Linked DNA regions of Coturnix japonica. The protein of the gene in region 1 interacts with the protein of each later gene in a pairwise test. Links are inferred from orthologs where the notes say so. Each region holds a gene or a part of one and is shown in the gene's direction. Other genes may lie near its edges. The genes, in order: EPM2A, PPP1R3C and PPP1R3D.

What was found.
Region 2: the proteins of EPM2A (region 1) and PPP1R3C interact in binary tests that used the Homo sapiens proteins (3 or more experiments, as listed by UniProt). The link is inferred for Coturnix japonica from reciprocal best matches to the Homo sapiens genes EPM2A and PPP1R3C.
Region 3: the proteins of EPM2A (region 1) and PPP1R3D interact in a two-hybrid assay, tested with the Homo sapiens proteins (2 studies listed by BioGRID, with this or other methods). The link is inferred for Coturnix japonica from reciprocal best matches to the Homo sapiens genes EPM2A and PPP1R3D.

What each region holds. Positions count from the first base shown.
Region 1 is NC_029518.1:41,847,311-41,853,487, reverse strand, and holds the start of EPM2A (laforin), read left to right. Parts: upstream 1-2,398; 5' UTR 2,399-2,472; coding exon 2,473-2,734; intron 2,735-4,776; coding exon of another isoform or gene 4,777-4,914; intron 4,915-6,177. UniProt on the Homo sapiens protein: Plays an important role in preventing glycogen hyperphosphorylation and the formation of insoluble aggregates, via its activity as glycogen phosphatase, and by promoting the ubiquitination of proteins involved in glycogen metabolism via its interaction with the E3 ubiquitin ligase NHLRC1/malin.
Region 2 is NC_029521.1:17,279,868-17,286,276, reverse strand, and holds PPP1R3C (protein phosphatase 1 regulatory subunit 3C), read left to right. Parts: upstream 1-2,219; 5' UTR 2,220-2,383; coding exon 2,384-2,384; intron 2,385-2,802; coding exon 2,803-2,944; intron 2,945-2,960; exon of another isoform or gene 2,961-3,200; intron 3,201-3,821; coding exon 3,822-4,767; 3' UTR 4,768-6,338; downstream 6,339-6,409.
Region 3 is NC_029535.1:6,069,002-6,075,417, reverse strand, and holds the start of PPP1R3D (protein phosphatase 1 regulatory subunit 3D), read left to right. Parts: upstream 1-2,121; 5' UTR 2,122-2,149; coding exon 2,150-3,061; 3' UTR 3,062-6,416. Other genes in the region: protein FAM217B, read right to left, coding at 179-273. UniProt on the Homo sapiens protein: Seems to act as a glycogen-targeting subunit for PP1. PP1 is essential for cell division, and participates in the regulation of glycogen metabolism, muscle contractility and protein synthesis.

The sequences.
Region 1 (6,177 bases):
AAGGCACAATATCAATTACCAGAATCAGATGGGCCATGGTGCGCTCAGATGGTAGTTTATTCCCATATGAATGAAAACAACAGCTTCTGGGACAGCTAAAAGCAATTTAATTAGTAGGGTTTGGGCATCTTTATGCCAGAGCTTTTTGATTGGACCTGAAAGGCATGCTTATTGGAATGGGACTTAATATAGCAAAACCAGGAAATCGTCCTGTTTACATTTGTGGCTGTTAAAGATGACTGGCTTACAGAAAAGGCTTTTAGGTTTAAGAACAGTGTTGAGGAGTGCAGGGACAGAGTGCTGGTCATGCGGTATGAGGATAAGGCTTTTTTCAAAGGAAATTGGTTTATCATTAATTCCTTAGGAATTTAGGCTTAAAGCAATGGCCCAGAAGTGAAAGTATTTCTTCAATTCCTGCAATATTCAACTACACAGCAGCACGTGTAAGCTCCCTATTGCCCCTTCATCCTTTGGTTCTTATATAAAACACCAGTTTAGAGATGAGAAATCCATAGACTACGTAAAGCTCGCAGCGAACCATTTACTTCTGAGCTTGGAGCCAAACCTTATGGTACTTACATAGTCTTGTTTGCGTGGTCTTAGATCTAATGAAGACCCATATCATCCTGTCTACACTTCACAGTTTGGTAGTATTCATCAATAAAAACTATTCAACAATAAAAACTGCAGGAACTCGAGCATGTCACTCCGTGCTATTTTTAACCTTAATCCAGCACCCAATGCTGGTGTGTACAAAACGGATCATGGTGAAATATGGAGAAGAAATGGACAATTAATTTAACCGCTAATATTTTGCACAAGACTGAAAATATAGTTTTTATTGCAGGTCTATAATGAGGGTTTGACACATAAAGAAGCTTTTTTTTAAAGGTACATATGTGTTGCAGGTCTTTTTACATTAAGGTTTAGACAACAGCCAGGAGTTAAATTATCAGATGCGCTACTGGATCCTGCAGCTTCTTAGCTCGAACGGTGCCTGGAATGAACAGTTGCATATCTCAGAATTATTATGGTGGGAGAAGACCTCTAAGTCATTCAGTCCAGCCATCAACTGCTACCGCTATCCCATTAACCCACATCCTTCACTGCTACATCCACCCTTATCTTGAACACCTCCAGGGATGGTGACTCCACCACTTCTTTGGGGTTTTATGTAGACACAAGATGCTTTTAGGACTACTGCCACGCTTGAGGTAGAAAATCTAAGTTTACCATCGCTCTCTGTACTGCCCTTAATACTAAAATGAAAGTGTATGCTACAAGGGTAGATATTTGATGGATAATTATGAGACAGGTTGCAGGTAACTTGACTGTAAGGTCGAGCAAAAACAAGGATTAAAATGTGTTGCTTTGTTCCACAAAAGCAACAGGGCTAGGGGGAGGGCTGCCAGAATCCCCTTCACTTTGGTTATGTTTGGAACAGAGGTGGCATATCACTTACAAAAGTTGAATTGGGATCAGTGAAAATGAGCTCAAGCATTCTTAAAAATACATTTGGCAGTACATATTCTTCAGTGTGTCATCGCCATCGAACACAGGAAACAAGCAGCCACCTTTTGAAGCAGGATTTCTTTTGACTCACTGAAAGGCCTTCATCCTGTTCCCAGAACTTGACCTAAATAAAGTTACTACTTCTCTGTTTCTGTCTTTAAACGCTTCTGAAATGGGTGTATTCAGACAAGGACCGTCCTATAAATGGTTGGATCGCATCCTTTCCCTCAGTCTTTGCAAGCCCTGAATATTGCTACATGTAGGAGCTGCCAAATTACAGCCAGAAGGGCAAGCTAGAATGCAGGCAATTGAGAGCAGCAGAATTGTTGAAGAGCTGTCTACCACCTGCTGCCCCCACCAGTCCCTCACATTCCTGGTCTCACCATGGCTGGCATCTCCCTGCCTACAGAGGAGGTATAACTGTCCTGAGCACTAAGCACGTTATTTGGGACCAAACCTTGAGGCTGTTTGTAACACCGCAGGTATAGCAGTGATTTAATGAGGTGTTTGCAGCACTAAATTAAGTCTCTCTGGACTAATTGCAGCAGCTTCATTGAACAAAGCAGTAATGCTCGCTAAAGTCAATATACGTAACGAGCAACCCTTTGCAATCTCAGTTCATTAGTTATCTGCTGGGATAATAGTCACGGATGCACTGAATAGCCCGAGTTGGAAGGAACCCACAAGAATCACCCTGGCTCCACACAGCACCTCCCAAAATCAAACCTTACGAAAGCAATGTCCAAACACTCCTTGAACTCTGACATTTGAGGCCGTGCTGCCGAGCAGCCCATCCCATGCCCTCAGCGGGCAGCCAAAGCGAGGCACAGCCCCAGCCGGAGCGCCCCGCCCGCCCCGGTCCCCCCTCCGGAAGTGAGGGTGCGGGGCGGCCCCTGGCGGCGGCACGGCTTCATTCCCCCCACCCCATACCCTGCCGCCTTCGGCCCGGTACAGCTCGCCATGCTGTTCCGCTTCGGCGTGGTGCTGCCGGCCCGCATCGCAGAGTGCGGCGGTGCGCTGCTTGTGGCCGGCTCGCGGCCGGAGCTGGGCGAGTGGGACCCGCAGCGCGCCGTGCCCATGCAGCCAGCACGGCCGAGCGCAGCGCTGGCGGCCCAGGAACCGGTTCTGTGGCTGGGGGAGGTGCTGCTGCCGGACGAGGACACAGCCAGCCCCTTCTGGTACAAGTTCCTGCGGCGGGAGGGCGGCCAGCTTCTATGGGAAGGTAAAGGCGGGGCTCGGGCGGAGCGGGGTGGGGCTGGCAGCTGACGCGGCGGGCCGGGCCAGGCAGGGCTGCGGGGGCTGCTTTTCTCTCTTGTGTTCTTAAGAGCTCAGTTACTTTAGTCAGTTTCTACGAGCTGTTGTTGTAGATACAGAAGTATGAAGCTGTAAATTCTGCCCAGGGAGGTGGTGGAGTCTCCTTCTCTGGAGATATTCAAGACCCGCCTGGACGCCTACCTGTGCGACGTGGTGTAGGGAGCCTGCTTTGGCAGGGGGGTTGGACTCGATGATCTCTAGAGGTCCCTTCCAACCCCTACAATTCTGTGAAATTCACCTCTCCTCACTGAGGAAAGGATCAGACTTGGTGAATAGAAGACGGATGATTAAAGAATTCACCACGTTTTTATCCAGTTTTGTAATCCGTGTAGAGAATAGCACGTTATAGAGCAGTTACTCCTCATCCTTTTTCGGGGTGTGTATTTAAGCAGCCAATCTCAGGTTGCCCAGAGGTGGTGGGAGCTCAGACCTTGGAAACACTCAAGGTCAGGCTGGACGGGCTCTGAGCAACCTACTCAAGCTGTAAGTGTTCTTGTTCACTGCAGAGCAGTTGGTCCAGATGGCCTTTAAGGATCTCTTCCAACTCAAATGATACTATGATTCTGTCACAGGGAGTGACAGGTTGGTGGCTTGTGTCCTGTGTCTTGAGGGGAACTGGTTCCTCTCGGTAGGAGGATGAGGTGGGAGAGGAGGCTGTTGTTTCCCCAAAGGGTCAGATGCTTGCAGTGACCCGAGGTGATGACACTGATGCTGGTGCTCACCTGGGGCCTGTGCCTTAAAGCCATCGGGCCCTTTGGGCTCACATTGTGATTCCTGCATGTGCTGTGGTCCAAATAATGTTTCTTTGGCAATGGTACTTTGCTTACCTGCTGTGAGTTCAGCTGAAAGGCCTGAAATACAGGAAGATTAAGTGTGTGATATTTATCAAAAACCAGTTAATGATGTTGAGCTTCAGAGTCTAGAAGAATTTTACCCAATAGAATAATAAGGGAATATCAATGCTATCTTCTTTTCAGCAACATCCTTTCTGTATTTCTGTAATCTGTTTTTGGTGTAGATTCTTTAGAACTGGATTTATACATCTCTTTCAGTCTGTGGTCCAAATAAACTGTAGGTACTATGCAAGATAAATGTTCCACTGAACAACAAAGGAGATATTAAGGGTATGCCCCAAACTGTTCTGAGATGATGCAATATGGTCTCTTGGTACCTGAGCTTTTGAGGAGGGGAAAGTAAATGTTGATCCATGTTCACATAACAAACATTACTTTGGGGGCAGATGGTTCTCTGTGGTTCCTTGGGAGTCTTCAGTTCAATTTAGAAGCAGCCTCTGGCTGTGGATGTTGACCTTGGTATGGTCCATTGTAGGGGATTGTGGCTCAGTGTCTGTGTAGCTTCTCTTTATTTTGGCTTTGGCTACTAATTTCGTAGATTAAGTGGAAAGGGAAATTTGTTGATTTGTTAATAGTTTGTTTAACGTTTCTTCAGCCCTTTTAATGGAGCTGCTTTATGCAGCGTTGCTCCCACTGGGTGTCGCCATTTTACCTGTGTATAGCTGTGTACAGCCAGGGGCTGCTTCTCTTGCAACTGCTCGCAAATCTCATCAGTATTTAGTCCAGCATCATCTGTTCTGCTTTTGAAAATAACACGGGGTTTTATTTCCTTCCTCCATTCTAGTCCTGTTCTAAAGAAGATAATGTCTAGGAAGGAACAAAAAGTGCAGTAGGATGTTGATAGCTGAATAATTGTGTGAGCCTGTTGCATCCTGTGTGGTACTGGGTGCTCGAGAACCTTTCAGCTGCGAGGGAACTTTGCTATGAGCAAAACTGAATAAGTTTGAAACCTGCTTCTGAATACAGCATAATGAATGGAGAGAAGCTTTTGTTTACAAAGTACAGTAGCTCCTGGTCTTCTGTTCTTCAGCTCCCTCAGCACATATAATGACATGATTAGTAACAAGGTTTTTCTTCCTTTCTGTCTGTATGTCAGCATTAAGCAACTTAAGCTGAGCAGTCGACTGGAGATGTATAAAGCAATGGAGAGTTGCCCGAGAAACTGCAAAATTAGAAGAGTGAAAATAAGCATGTGCAATGGTATTTGCCAAATCCATACACATGAATTGGACAGGTATGTGTCATCCCTACCCACAGTGACAACTGCAGGGCAACTCTGATTGCTGTGAAAGGCTATTAAACATTTGTGGTTATAATGATGAAATAAATGTATTGATTATGCAGATGCCTCACTTATTGCTATCCACTCCTTCTCCTCACTTCTAAGGGACAGCAGAATTTAGTATGGGTCAATAATTTATTTTCAGTGTTGAAAAGCACTGAGCAGTAGAAAAATAGGTAACTGGGATAATCTTTTGATTAAGATTTTGCCATAGTTACAGTCTAGATATAGTTTGTTTCCTGACTTTAATTTAGTGATCTTTTCTGGTTTGTTATTAAGTAGCAAACAGTAATATACAGTACAAAACCATATGGAGTTTCAGAGCAGTTGGTAAGACTTCTACATTATGTATTTTGTTATTACCATCCATTATTTTATCTTTGCATTTGTTCTTATTTCCACCATATGAAAAGAGCATTCATTTCATGATCTGAATTGCCTTCGAGCTGCGTTTCTGTGGCTTAGTCTATATCATCAGATTGGACATTTGGCTATAAGTCCTTAGTATAGCTGCAGCTCCCACTGTGAAACACCTGTGCTTAAGCAGTCTTAGAGAAATACAACAGATGTTTCTGAAAGTTGCCTTAGAAAGTTTTTATTTTCTCATTAAAAAAAAAGTTCTTGTTGATAAACAGCATTAAGTGCTGAAGAGGGCTTTCTTGTAGGCCGCTTATTTGTAATGTTAGTGTAATTAGAATCTATAAAAGGAATGTTTTTAGGGGTAGGATAATAGGCTAAAAAAATCTTGAATTAAATCTGGATTTTGACAAGATTTCAAACTTATTTTGTTGGTAATGTATATTAGTCCACAGAATGAGAAATTGAATCATCACTATTTTAGTTTCATAGAAAATAAACTCACCATGAAATGGTCTTCTGCTTTTTGGATACTTTTAGGGGATTAGCGCGTGCAAGGAAACGTTTCTGAAAACCAAACCAGGCGTGAACAAGGAGTTAGTGAGCTAGTGTGGCAAATTAACAATTTTCTCTTGAGCATTATTACGTATTGCAGCAATACAAGAAATAGAATTATGCCTACTGTTTTCTGCATCTAAGGGGGAGACAGAATAGTGACAACAGAAAAGGCATTAAGAAGCAGAGCATGCAAGTAAGGATTAGTACGTGACACACAGAATTCAAATGTGTTATTTGAAAGTATTTGTCTGAAATGTTAAAATAAAGGCCAGCCATGAAGGGACTTTGCTTAGATTCTTG
Region 2 (6,409 bases), on another chromosome or scaffold:
AGCATATCACCTTAAATAATCTTTGATAATGTTTTATAAGGCAGGAAAAAATGAGTATTTAAACCAAATAGGAACAAAACATTTTAAAATGGCAAAAGTACAGCAAGCAGTAGAAATGTGCAGCAAGGGGTACTTGGTACAACTGCTCGTGTGCAGGCTTCAAGTGTGAATCAGCCTGGAATAAAACAGCTGCCCAGGTCCTATCTGTGGCCTGCACATGGAAAGCACAGCCCAGCTGTGGGTGGTGCAGGTGGACATGGTCCCACTTGGCCCCGTGGTTCTATGGGACCACAACTTCAGTAGCACAGGCTCACAACACCTCTCCTGAGTTGCTCACTCATGCTTTAAAATGCAGAATATTTAGTAAGTGCCAACCGTGCACTCATTTATGACCCTTGGGGGTCTTGGGTCTCAATTTCAACCCCTGGAAAAAGCATCTGTAGCTCAAAAGAAAAAAAAAACAACAACACAAACACACTCTGCAACTAGCAGGGCTTGAAGAACAGTTTTTTGGTACATTCCCTAAGCAAACAATGAGGAAATATCATCTGTCACTGAGAGGGAGCCAGCAGTCATAAAAAGATAAGGAAATGGAGAGATGTGATATGTGGAGCAGAGGATTAGGGAAGGTCATCCTGAATTGATAGCACCAGGGAACAGGCCAGAACCTTTCCAGTCCTTGCCTTTGCTGCCAGGTAGTGCTTCAGGCTCCATCTAGGTGATGTTTAATGTCACCTACTGGCAGAAAGGGCAGGAACTTCAGTCACCAAGAGTCTTGCTAAGAAATTGAAGCCTTTCTGCCCTATGAATGCCTTCATTATACACACAGAGGCAGTGTATGGGTCTGTGTGCCACACTTCAGTCACTAGAGGAGACTTCTCCCTCCAGCACTTTCAGGGCTGTTTGTTTCTCTGCTACTACACAGCCTTAATCCAAGAGGAAGGCATCTTTTCGCCTGCCATGCCTTGGCCTGTGCTTAAGTGCTGTCTCCTAACAACCTCTCATGCACAGCAATAGAGCCTTTCATTCACAAACCATGTAAAGAAAAACAATTTGGATGAGCCAGAGAAATCCTATTATCTTCTATTCTTCTTCACCATAAGTCCCTTTTGTTCCATGTAGAGCATAGTGCTTCCTGTCATGCATTGTGCACAGAACTCATCTACTGATAAAAGCTCAGAATAGCTCACATACTCAGTATCATGAGTGCAGGGCTGCACTTGGGAGAGAGTGGGCAGGAAGGTGACAGTGAAACCATGCAGCCACACCAGGCTCACACAGTTGTGGGGGCAGGCAGTGATGGTGTGACTGTCGTCACACTGCAGAGACCGCGTGCTACTGCTTTCTGCCCCTTTGCTCTAGAAATAGCTAACAGCTACAACGTGGGAAGTACAGCAGGACCTCCAGTACCCTCACACTGCTGTGTGTGGAGCTGAACAGCCAATAGTACCATGCAAAAGAAACCTCCAGTTTTGTCAGTTCAGTCAAGGCCAAGTATAGCCCAGGATGACAGACTTCAGGCCCTGGCAACACAAGTATCCAGCTCTTTTTAGTCAAATCTGAGTCTGCAGTTTCAAGCTGGTGTTACTCTTGTTCTGTTAGGTAGTGTCCTGCTAAAGCAGCAGCAGGAAGAAGCCCCACATTGACACGTTAAAGTGTTCTCTTGGAAGTCTTGTAGAGCAAACCCATTTGCTTTTCTAGCTCTGGCAAAGGCCCACTACCTCTGAGCCCCATCTGAAGCTCCAGCCACCCCCGAGCCGTACCGAGGCCACGTCACCCCCATAAGGGATGCAAGAGGTGCAGACAGGCTGATCGGGACAAAGGAGAGCTCCCCATTGCAAAGACCGCTGTGAGACAAGCAGCCGGCACTGTCGACCGCGTACAGCCAACACAGCAAAGCTCGGGCTCTCAGGGGCAAGAATATCCAAGTTATTTAAAGCACAGCAGTTTTGGAAACGACTCTGCGGGATGTGCGGGGGGGGGAGGGGTGGGCATGGGGAGAGGAGAGCCCTGGATGCAGCAGGAAGCAACGGCACGGCAGCACCACGCGCCGAGCATCGCACCGACCGAACAATAACAACCACCGAAGCCCCAGGGGGCGGCACTCGGCACCGCCCGCCCCACAGCCGTGACCACGTGGAGAAACAGCGGCCTCCCCCCCCCCCACGCGGCCCCCCGGCACGCACAGCCCCGCCGCGCCGCGCCCCGGGGCAGGACCGAGCCCGGAGCATAAAGGGAGCGGAGCGAGGGGGCTGCGGAGTAACCGCCCCGCACTGCTCGCCATCGGCCGCAGGTGAGCGCTGCTGGCTCCGCTGCCCGCGCTGCGGCTGCTCTCCCTCGGGTCGGTTCGGTTCTAGCGTGCGCTTCCAGCCCCGCAGAAGGAAGTAAGTAAAGGGGAGGGGGGAATAAAATCTTCATCCTTTGGGGGAATGTACTTTTGCACTGCGCTACTTTGATTTTTATCAGGCTTGTAGAAGCGTTTAGCGCTTGCATAGTGCCTTGTGAATGCTGCTCAACTCTATCATCTTTTGCTGGCAGATTTTTGCCTCTCCTAGCAGCGTAGCCCTTTATTTTTGTTTTGTTTTTAATGTTGTATAACGTTATGAGCAGCAGCCTATGGAGCTCGTCATGGAAACTAGAGAGAATACAATACTGATGCTGCTAAAAGCCAAACAAAACTTGATAAATTTGATGCCAGTACTCCACTACCTATTATGGTAAATGCTGCCATAGCTTAAGAAAGGGGGGGAAAAAAAGCAAGAAGAACGAAGAGGTCAGTGCAGATTCTGCTTTTTTTGGCAGTGCTCTGGAATACCAGTGAGAACACTGGGAAGAAGAATGCCATTTATTTAAGTGACAAAGCAAGTGCTCTTTCTTCCCATGACTCAACAGAACTCCATATTTCCAGCAAGGATTGGATCTTTACCAGAAGAGATGCACTGCAGTAGGAGCCCCTTCTGCAAATACTGCTAACCGACCGTGGTTTCAGAGTCATAGAATTACAGAGTACATCAAGTTGGAAGTGAACTGCAAGGACCACAGAGTCCAACTGTGGGCTCCTTGTAGGACCATCCAAAACCCCAGTCATATTTCTGAGAGCATTTTGTAAAATAATCGTGGTTTTCATCGTCTGAGAGTCAGGTTTAGGAACAAATCTAAACAAAGAAAGCTGTAGCATTCTTATGAAATGCTTGCATTAGGTATGGACTTTGGGGAATATAAGGAATGGAATGTTTTTAATACGTTACTCAAAACACAAGATGAAGACAATTCTCCTTCAGCTCCTTTATTCTTTCCCCCACTTACTCAGCAATGCTCACAATGCAAACCAGCTTTTTTAACTAGACCTGGGTTAATAGCTCAAAACTGATTTAACCAAAGCCAAGCTGGGACAGGTAACTTGATTACTCTAGTGCTGTCTGCTCGGGTGCAGCAGCTGATCCACCCTGTTAGATTTTTAAGACTAGGCTCACAGTCACTGAAAGAAATTGAAGTGGATGAGCACTTTCACTGCAGGTGGATCTGTTTGTACTGGTACATTAGGATGTGCTTTATTAGCTGTTTCTAAAATCCATGTTTCAGAGGTTTGGAAAAAGCAAATTACATTCGTATTGAAAGACTGCAGAATTGTAAAGAAATGACAGTATGTTCATTCTTTTTCCTCTCTTGAACTGTCAATATTAATTTAGGCTGCATTATTTAAAGCTGTGCAAAGACCAGGTTGTGAATAATTAAGACAGCAGATGAAGCACATATGCATTCTTAACAAGCTTTTCCCCAATGTATCAAATAATAATATGCTGTCTTTCTGCTCCTTTCAGAATGATTCAGATCTTAGATCCGAGACCCTTGCCAAATTCCATCATGCCTGTGGATGTGGCCATGAGAATCTGCTTAGCTCATTCACCTCCACTGAAGAGCTTCCTCAGCCCCCTTGAGGGCTGCCAGAGAAATAACTTTGTGAACAAATTCAAACCTCTCAGACCCTGTCTCCATGTGAAACGTGATTCTGAAGCACAGAAGAGTGACTGGAACCACTCAGCAGCCCGAGCCAAGAAGCGAGTTGTGTTTGCAGACTCAAAGGGGCTCTCCCTGACGGCAATACACACCTTCTCAGAGTTCCAGGAGCACCCTGGCTGGGATCTCCAGTTTGATCTTATAAGTCTCGAAAACATAACGTCTAACCTGAAGCTTCACGAGGAGAAAAACTTGATTCTGGATTTCCCTCGTCCCTCAGCTGACTACCTGGACTTCAGGAACCGCCTGCAGAGGAACTTGGTCTGCCTGGAGAACTGCAGCCTACAAGAGAAGGTGTTGTCAGGCACTGTGAAAGTAAAAAATGTGAGCTTTGAGAAGAAGGTTCAGGTTCGAATCACCTTTGATACGTGGAAGACTTACACGGACATTGAGTGTGTGTACATGAACAATGTTTATGGTGATTCTGAAAATGATACCTTCTCATTTACTATTGACTTGCCTCCTGCCATTCCTTCTCAAGAGAAAATTGAGTTCTGCATTTCCTACCAAAGTGGCGAGCGTACCTTCTGGGACAATAATGAGGGGCAGAACTACAAGATTCTCCATGCAGAGTGGAAATCTGATGGTGTTCGGATACCATCTGCCACAAAGGACTGTTTTGATGTTCCAGCTCCAAGGAAAGGGCAAGAGAGAGAGCCCGATCAGCTCGGCAGCCCAAGGCTGTCCAGTGGCCTCTTCCCCCAGTGGCAGAGCTCAGGTGGGATTGAAAATTCATCACCATATTGGTGATAGACACTAGCTTGGAAATATTATTCCACTTGGCAGCAAACCAGTGTTAGCTTTCTGGTTCACAGAACTATATAACAAAACCACCCGGCAGGTGTGGCTGCCTTTACAACTCCAAACTCAGCAGTCTCGTTAAGCCATATTATGTTCTTGAAGTTCTTAGCCAAAACTTATCCTTGGAAAGAAAGACAAACGAGATAAAACCCGTGTGTATACCACCTACTAGAAATAGCATGCCTGTATCTTAAGTATATGCTGTGTGCTTTCTGCTGTTGTCTCTCCTGAGTCATTAGGCAGGAGACTGTGGAAGGTGACAGTGTTTTAGCAAGCTGTAGCAACTGTGTGTGAGTGTGTGTGCACAGAACTGTCACAGGAGCAGAACATCAAAGTCCATTTTGTGCCTGTTAGCGCAGCAGAGCTGAGGCAGTGCTCTCAGGACTAAAGCTTGCAGTGACCTATGTGCTTTAGCAGTAGCAGGTAAGACTGCATGGCTAAGATTTGTGGTTTCAATAAAGGTTAGGAAATTTGGAGAGGATAATGGAAAAGTAGGAGAAGGGGAAGAGGTAAGATGTGCTGCCTAACTTGGAGATAGACAGTGTGTTGATGTTGTCTTCAAAGCTGGCTTTCTAAATAAAGGAAAAGTTTATGAAATTAAAAAGAATACAGAAAATAATGCAAAGCGAGTGGTGGAAGTGACTTTGGGAAGGCATCTCTGACCTCACTGGCCTCGGGAAAAATGGATATCTTGCATTAAGATCAAATCTAACCTCGAATTCTGCCTTCATCATTCTACTCGCTTGTCAGGCTGATGGTTACCTTCTAATGTTAAAAGAAAAATGTGCCTTTAAAAAAACAAAGTCACTGTACATGCCAAAAGTAAAGGCTGAAGCCAAGGTTAGTGTATAGACTACACTGAGTGGTCTGTAAATGTCTTGGTCTGTGGCAGCATTAGGTGATTTCACTCATTGCCTGATCTAGTCTTACAGCACCTAATGGTTAAGTATCCTGCTCCCTATTGCAGAGTCAGAGATAACTTTTGAAAAGTGTATAATATAGGAAAGGTCCTTCATATTGAAGACAGTGAATTAGCTGCAGTTGGTGAAAGCAACTTCTTTTAAAAAGCAGAATTGCTGCTAGTTTTTTCTAGAATGAATATAGGCTTGCACATAAACAGAAACTGCTCAGTTTCATTGTACCTCATTTTAGAAGTTTGTTTTGTTTGTTTTTTTAAACTAGTGTATATTTTATATCATATGCTTGTAATTTAGCTTCCTGAGCTGTCAAACTGTAAGCATGGTCTGTGTTTTGTGTAAGACTTGTGGGAAATTGTCCAGCACATACTCAGCAGGTGTAAATATTGGCATACCTTCTAACTGTACAGAAGTGATGTTAACATCAAAATACATGTGACTTGTATAATAGCCTGAATCTGAAGCTACTTGTAATGCAATGAGAAGATAAATGCTAAGATGAAGTAAGTTTCTTCCACTAATTGCACTTTTTTTTTTTTCTTTTCTGTGTAACCCATGCTGTTAAGTGTCAACTAGCTATTTTAAGAATAAATTGTATTTTAATACATCTGGTTCTTATTGAGTCAACTCAATCTGCTCATTCCATTCCTTCTTTAAACAACTGCAACTCCAAC
Region 3 (6,416 bases), on another chromosome or scaffold:
CCTCAAGCAGTACCGCAGTCACCTCTGTCACTTTGTGACCTGCACAGTCAGAGCACACACTCATTTGTGTTGCTGCAGATTGGAGAGGAGGATGAGAATTTGAACTGTGCTGTCATGCACTTATCACCTCTTCTACAGTACTTTCTATAACTAGAAGGAAAGAAAATAATGTCCTTACTTTACCATTCCTTTGTGGTTTTCATTGATTTGGCTTTCCTTTTTCTGTGCCTTTTGGTGCAGTAATAAAGGATGTTCTTGAATGCCTGGTCCCATTATTACACTTTTAAAGCGGTATCTACATCTTTATCTTTACATAATCCTCCAATGGCTCCATTCTTTCTGATCCACACAGCACAGCGTGCCAAACTCAAACATCACCACATCCTGAACATTCAGTGAACAAAAACCACGCAACATGATTATTAAAGCAGAACAACAAACATGAATTAGCTACCAGATGGCACCGGGATGCGCCGTCCCATCCCTTAGCAGTCACATATTCATCTCACTAAGGCCGCACACAGCGCTCAGCACCAGGTTGGCCAGGAGTGCTGCACAGCGCAGTGCTCACCACCAGCTGTAGGGATGCAGCACTGCAGCGACATGAGCTGGGCCAGCACTGCTCAGCACACCCAGCACCCACCGTGTTGCTAAAGATACAGAAAAATATATGATGTGCAGCAGCAATAGGGGAGCTGCTTTTCACTGCGCACTGAGCCCTGCATGTTGCTCTGCCTGCAGTGCATTGAGCGGAGCCAAGGGGTGTTTCTGCATTCACATATGTACACGTATCAGATGCTTTGCTGTTCTCCCAAACCAAACCTCTCGCTGCTCATCCATCCCCACTAAAAACAGCCTCAGCAGAGCATGCAGCATTCCTTCATCTTCCAGAAACCTCACTCCCCTCCCGGGGCTGCACAATACAGTTCCCAGGAGGTGACAGATGTTCCGCACCTCTCTACACCCACCCTCAGTTTTGTTGCAGTTCTATAGATAGATTTAATCTTTAGATGCGTTCCTATTATTCACGTTTATTTTGACACAGTCCTGTTTCTCACTGCTGCTCTCCCCAGCACAAAGCCCAGCAGGACACACTGCCTGTTTCCCCATCGATTCGGACCTTGGGGGTCCAGAGCCGCACGGTCCCACCAACCCCTCAGCACCACCGCCCCCATCCCGCCCGTACCTGCCTTCCTGCCAGCAGCCACCGGCATTAAGGGCACCCCAAGGCAAGAGACGTCAGGCGGCGGCTGCGCATGAGCCTGGGGCGGAGCGTATTGGCCGTTCATTTTGATGGGCAGGGGGGCGCGGTGTGGGCGGGGATGGTCGAAGTTCCGGGCAGGCGCTGTTAAGCGGGTTGGGCGTGAGGGGTCTGTGTACGGCCGGGCTGGTGCTCGTGCAGCTGGGCACTGATGTGGGCTGTGCAGACCCCGGCTGCCGATCCCTCCCCTTCCAGTCACGGTACCGAGTCCGCTACCCCGGCCCCGCCCGACAGCCTCCTCACTCCCTCCAGCCTGTGCAGCAGCCTCAGCTCCGGCTCGCTCCCACCCGACAGCCTCCAAGCCTTCCCCGGCCTCTGCAGCGGCCGCGAGTCGCCCAGCATCCAGTGCGACAGCCTCGAGTGTCCCGGGTGCCGCTGCAGGAGCCTGGGCTCGGTCAGCCCCTGCGAGGACAGCCTGCAGGTCCGGCTCGCGGCGTGTAATGGTCCGGGCTGCTTCGGGGTGCACCGCTGCAGCCCTCACGCACCCCGCGATATCAGTGACAGCCTGGAGTCCTTCGGCAGCCAACACGACAGCCTCCAGTCCGTCCCCAGCCTGTGCGACAGTCTGCGGTCCTCCAGCATTGCGGGTGACAGTCTTGAATCTCTTTCCAGCCTGAGCAACGGGTCCACCAGCCTGGAGTTCACCAGCCAGTGAGTCTGTATTCAGCTTCCCCACGCAACACTCCAGGCTCTGCTTTGCTCTCAGCTGCTGTGAGAGCTGCCTGTTTTCTGCCTTTCTTTGCAGAAGGCCAAGTTGTTCCAGCTTACTCTTCTCGAGCCAGGGCAGTATCCTCAAATCCTCACTGTGTGTGGCTTTTTCCCAAGTTCCTTTAAAGAGGCAGCGCTTGGCACCAGCAGTGTTACCATCAGCACTGCCATCAGTGAAGAATGGAGGTGCACGGTCCTCGGAGGAATCGCAGCTACCTGTCTGATCTCTATGAGAACATGCTGCGGGCACAAGGGGCACCAGGACAAGGACAGCAGCAGCCCTCGGTGGTACGTCCAAGCAGCAGCCCACATCTTGTGAGCCATACCCCAGTCAAGGCGGCGACCCAGCCACATCAGCCTCAGAGCAGCACTTCCAGCAGCTGTGATCCAGCACTGCGGCCTATCATCCGCCGCCGAGCAAGGTCTTTGCCTACGACACCTGAAAGAAAGAAGCGAGTGCAGTGTCAAGCTCCTGTGTGCCAGAGCCGCATGAACAAGGTGAGATTTGCTGATGCTCTGGGCTTGGAGCTGACTGAAGTGAAAGTCTTCCAGAAAGGGGAGGATCCTTCCATCCCCCTACACGTCCTTTCCAGGCTCTCCATAAACTCAGACCTCTGGTACAGCAACTTGGAGTTTACTATGCAGTGCTTAGTCCCTGATTTCCAGCAGCCTGCAGACAGCGTGGATTTCTCTGCTCGACTTCAGGAGCAGCAGGTGTGTCTTGAACGAGTGACCAGTTCAGATCTGGGGGTCAGTGGCACCATCCAAGTTTGCAATCTTGCTTTTGAGAAACAAGTGTCTGTGCGATATACCTTCAACCAGTGGAAAAGCCTCCATGAAGTGTGTGCTCATTGGCACAGTAGTATCCCTGAGAAAAACGGGCAGGATCAAGTTGATGTTTTCACTTTTTTTCTCCCTGTGCCTTCTTTCCTCCTTCAGCTGTGCTCTGTAGTCCAGTTTGCAGCAAGGTATCAAGTCAATGGGCAGGAGTATTGGGATAACAACAAAGGCAAAAACTACAGCCTCAGTTGCCGGACTCACCCCCTCAAGATGCCTAGAGAATGCGAGGAGAGCTGGATTCACTTCATCTGAATGAAGGAAAGTGGATGCAGAACAGCTTTGCAGTAGTCTCAGCGGCCCTCTCTTCATGGCATGGCTCTGTGCTCCTTATTGAAGCCTACCAAACCTGGCAGTGTTTCACGACAGGCAGGTAGCCAGCAACCCGGATGGACTGTTCTAAACCTCTCAAAGCATAAAGGGCCAAAATGTGTAGAGCTACATCTGTTGAAAGCCTGGGTGGTTTCTTGCAGTGTATGAATCAAGGCAGAATGGTTTAAAGGGATCCTTTCAGGCTATTTAGCAGAGATCAAGAGAAGACACTTTATGTTGCTAGCAATATTCTAGATTGCATAGATTATTTCTAACAGATCTATTTTACTATTTTGTACTGCCTGTTTTTTAAAATGGGCAGTGTAGCTTTACTGTTTTCATTTCTAATTTTGTTTGTATAATCACACCTAGTCTGGGCACTGCTCCAGTTACACACCATTTGCATGGCAGACACTGTAGGGAAGCACTTGCATATATAATTTTTTAAAGACTGTTACTGCGTTAAGTATTTCCATTAGCTTTGGAGTTGGAAAGTAAAGAAATGTTATTATGAGCAAAACCTGCATGAAAATTTCCCACCAGCCCCTGTTTCCCTTTTTATTATTGTTATTATTAATTTCAAGTGCCTTATCTCCACTGTTTGCTGTAGGCAGGGGGAGTGATTGTTACCAGGGTGTAGAAAGGTACTCTGGTGCTTTGCAGGGAAGCTCTCATCTTGTTCACCTGATTTACCATTAGGCTTTTCCTCCAGGTGGTGGTGCAGGAGTTGTCCTTCTGCGGCTGCATTTACTAAGGAAAACTAAAGAAATTTTGCACTTGAATTACACTTATGCTCTTACACTCATACTTGAAATAGGTAAACTTGTAAATCAAGCAGATGTGAGAAAGGAAAGACAATACACTGAGCTTGTTACAGATCCTCGCAGTAGGATTCTAGAACTCTGAATCCTGGCTCCCTGTTTCCCAACATCTCACTGCCATTGCAGAAGTAATTTTTGAATGCTCTTATCAGCTGCTTTTGATTATAAACCAGCTGATCTCTAAGGCCGTGTCCTTCGCAGCATGAAACAGGAACTTCAAAGCAAAACAATGTCTTTAATGGTAAATTAGTATTAAATGGGTCCTCAGATTATCTTCTACAGCAGCGAAAGCATAGCAGCACATGTACTGCACACCTAATGCTTACTGCTCTGCGACTTTTGTTCTGGGGAATTAGTGTGGTTTGAGATTGGCCACAGGCTTGTGACAGGCTTCAATTTAGTAAGTAAAAGATTGGCCATTTGTTTGTTTTTTTCCTACATACTCAACACTTGCATGCAAAATTTATGGCATAAATTTTCCAGGCTGTCTGGGTGGAATTGTTTGAGCTGCTTTTTGGAAGAACTGTATGATGAAAATCAGGCCTTGTATTCAGACATCTAATTTGAGATTGCTGCTTATTCATCAAAATCACGTGATTTTTACAAACCACAGTTGTAATTAATTCATGGTTGATTATGTGCAAATGCAAAAAGTCCAACAAGTAATTCAGGAAGGAGAAAATTCAAATGTTTGGCAACTTAATATTACTAGTTGGGCTAAATATCAAAGCCAGGATTTGAAGTGAACAGGCTTCCCAGTTCTTTAGCCTTTGGCTTCAAAGGGACAACTGATGAATAACGGCTGTTTGAGCTGCTTAGCACCTCTTTCAAAGTACAGTGAAAACTCAGTTGTATTGGAAAACAACAAATTGTTTATTTTCATTCTATAATTTGGCCGTTTCTGTTAGTGACTGCTGCTTAAGTGCAATTCTGATTTCTTTCCTAAGTAAATGAAACGTCCGCAGATGATGGATTTCCTTTATATAGCTTACATAGCTGTCCAGTGTAGCAGCAGATATGCAAGGTGTACTTTGAATGGCTTGTTTTCAGCAGGATAATTATAAGTTGTTGAATTCAGCTGGGGCTCACAGGGTTTTCCTCTGAAAGCCAACTTCTAAGTATTACTTACTCTTCCTATAAGCCTCCCTACCTTTGGTAATTAATTTTGGTTTTTAACTTGTCTGTATACTGATGGATTACCAGTGGTTATCTGTGGGTAGGGAACAGTAAAAATAATCATTTCTTTATTTGCTTTTTGCATAAAAGAACTTTCATTTTCTACTTAACAGAAAGTGAATGCCAGTGGTGTTTTAATTTCGTTTTGGAGCTCAGTGAGGTCAAAAATTCAAGCTGTAATTGTTTTGAACATAACACAACTGCTCCATTGGGATATTTCATATCTGTTAAGCCTTCATAGCCATTAAGACAGGCAGAACACTTCTGGGATTGGGGTGAGGCTGGAGAGTAATTTATAGCTTTCAGTCCACCTGCATTATTTTCTGTACCTGAGTTAAAGGGGGAACTGTTGAACAATTGAGCAGCAGCTCTTTTGTCATAAGGGAAGGGGAACTGAAACTGCTCTTCCTCATAGGCCAAAAAAAGACAAACAGAAGAGATGGAGCAGTGAAGAAAGGGCACTTCTTGTTGTGCCCTATGGTGGGTTCTGTGTGGCTAAATGACATATGATGGTGTATGACATAACACATCTGAAGTTGTCAACCCAGATGTTCTCTACAGTCAGTAGCAATGTTGCTGGAGTTTGCAGACTGCCTTTATTGTGACAAACTGTGTCAGCTGCTGCAGGGTGAGTTCTGCTGCAAAGGATTTCTCAGTGCTGTTGTAGATTAAGTCAAATGTCAGGTAGTGTGAAACACACCTTCAGTAACTGCAGCAGAACCATTCTTGTCATGAGCTGAACCTTATTTTGGTGAAACTTGCTCACTTGAGTAATTCCATTAATGTTTATTGCTTGTTGTTGAACTCCATAGAAGTAGAGTTTTACATATTTGTTAGCAAAGCAGAAAGAAAACACAGGCACATGCAAACACACGTGCACAGAAGAACTTGTGCTGAATAAAAGGCACTATTTTGAAGGATTACTCCTCCTCCTCCTCCCACCTCCCCATTTACTGTATTTCTTTCCTGAACAAAAACACTGAATTATCTCTCAGCACACTGTTATCCTCCTGCTCTTCTGAGACTGTTCTTTAATACTGTTTTACAATGGATGTTGCTGGTTACTTGGTTTACTGATGTTCAGATGCTGTTGCTGTCTTCTGGGAGAGAATCATTCATGCTAGTAAATGTCAAAATTTCCTTGTTATTACAAGGAACAAGAGATTATAGAGATACCATCAGTTTAAAGTCATGTACGTCAGAGTGTACAGCTAGTAAATGTCAAAATTTCCTTGTTATTACAAGGAACAAGAGATTATAGAGATACCATCAGTTTAAAGTCATGTACGTCAGAGTGTCAG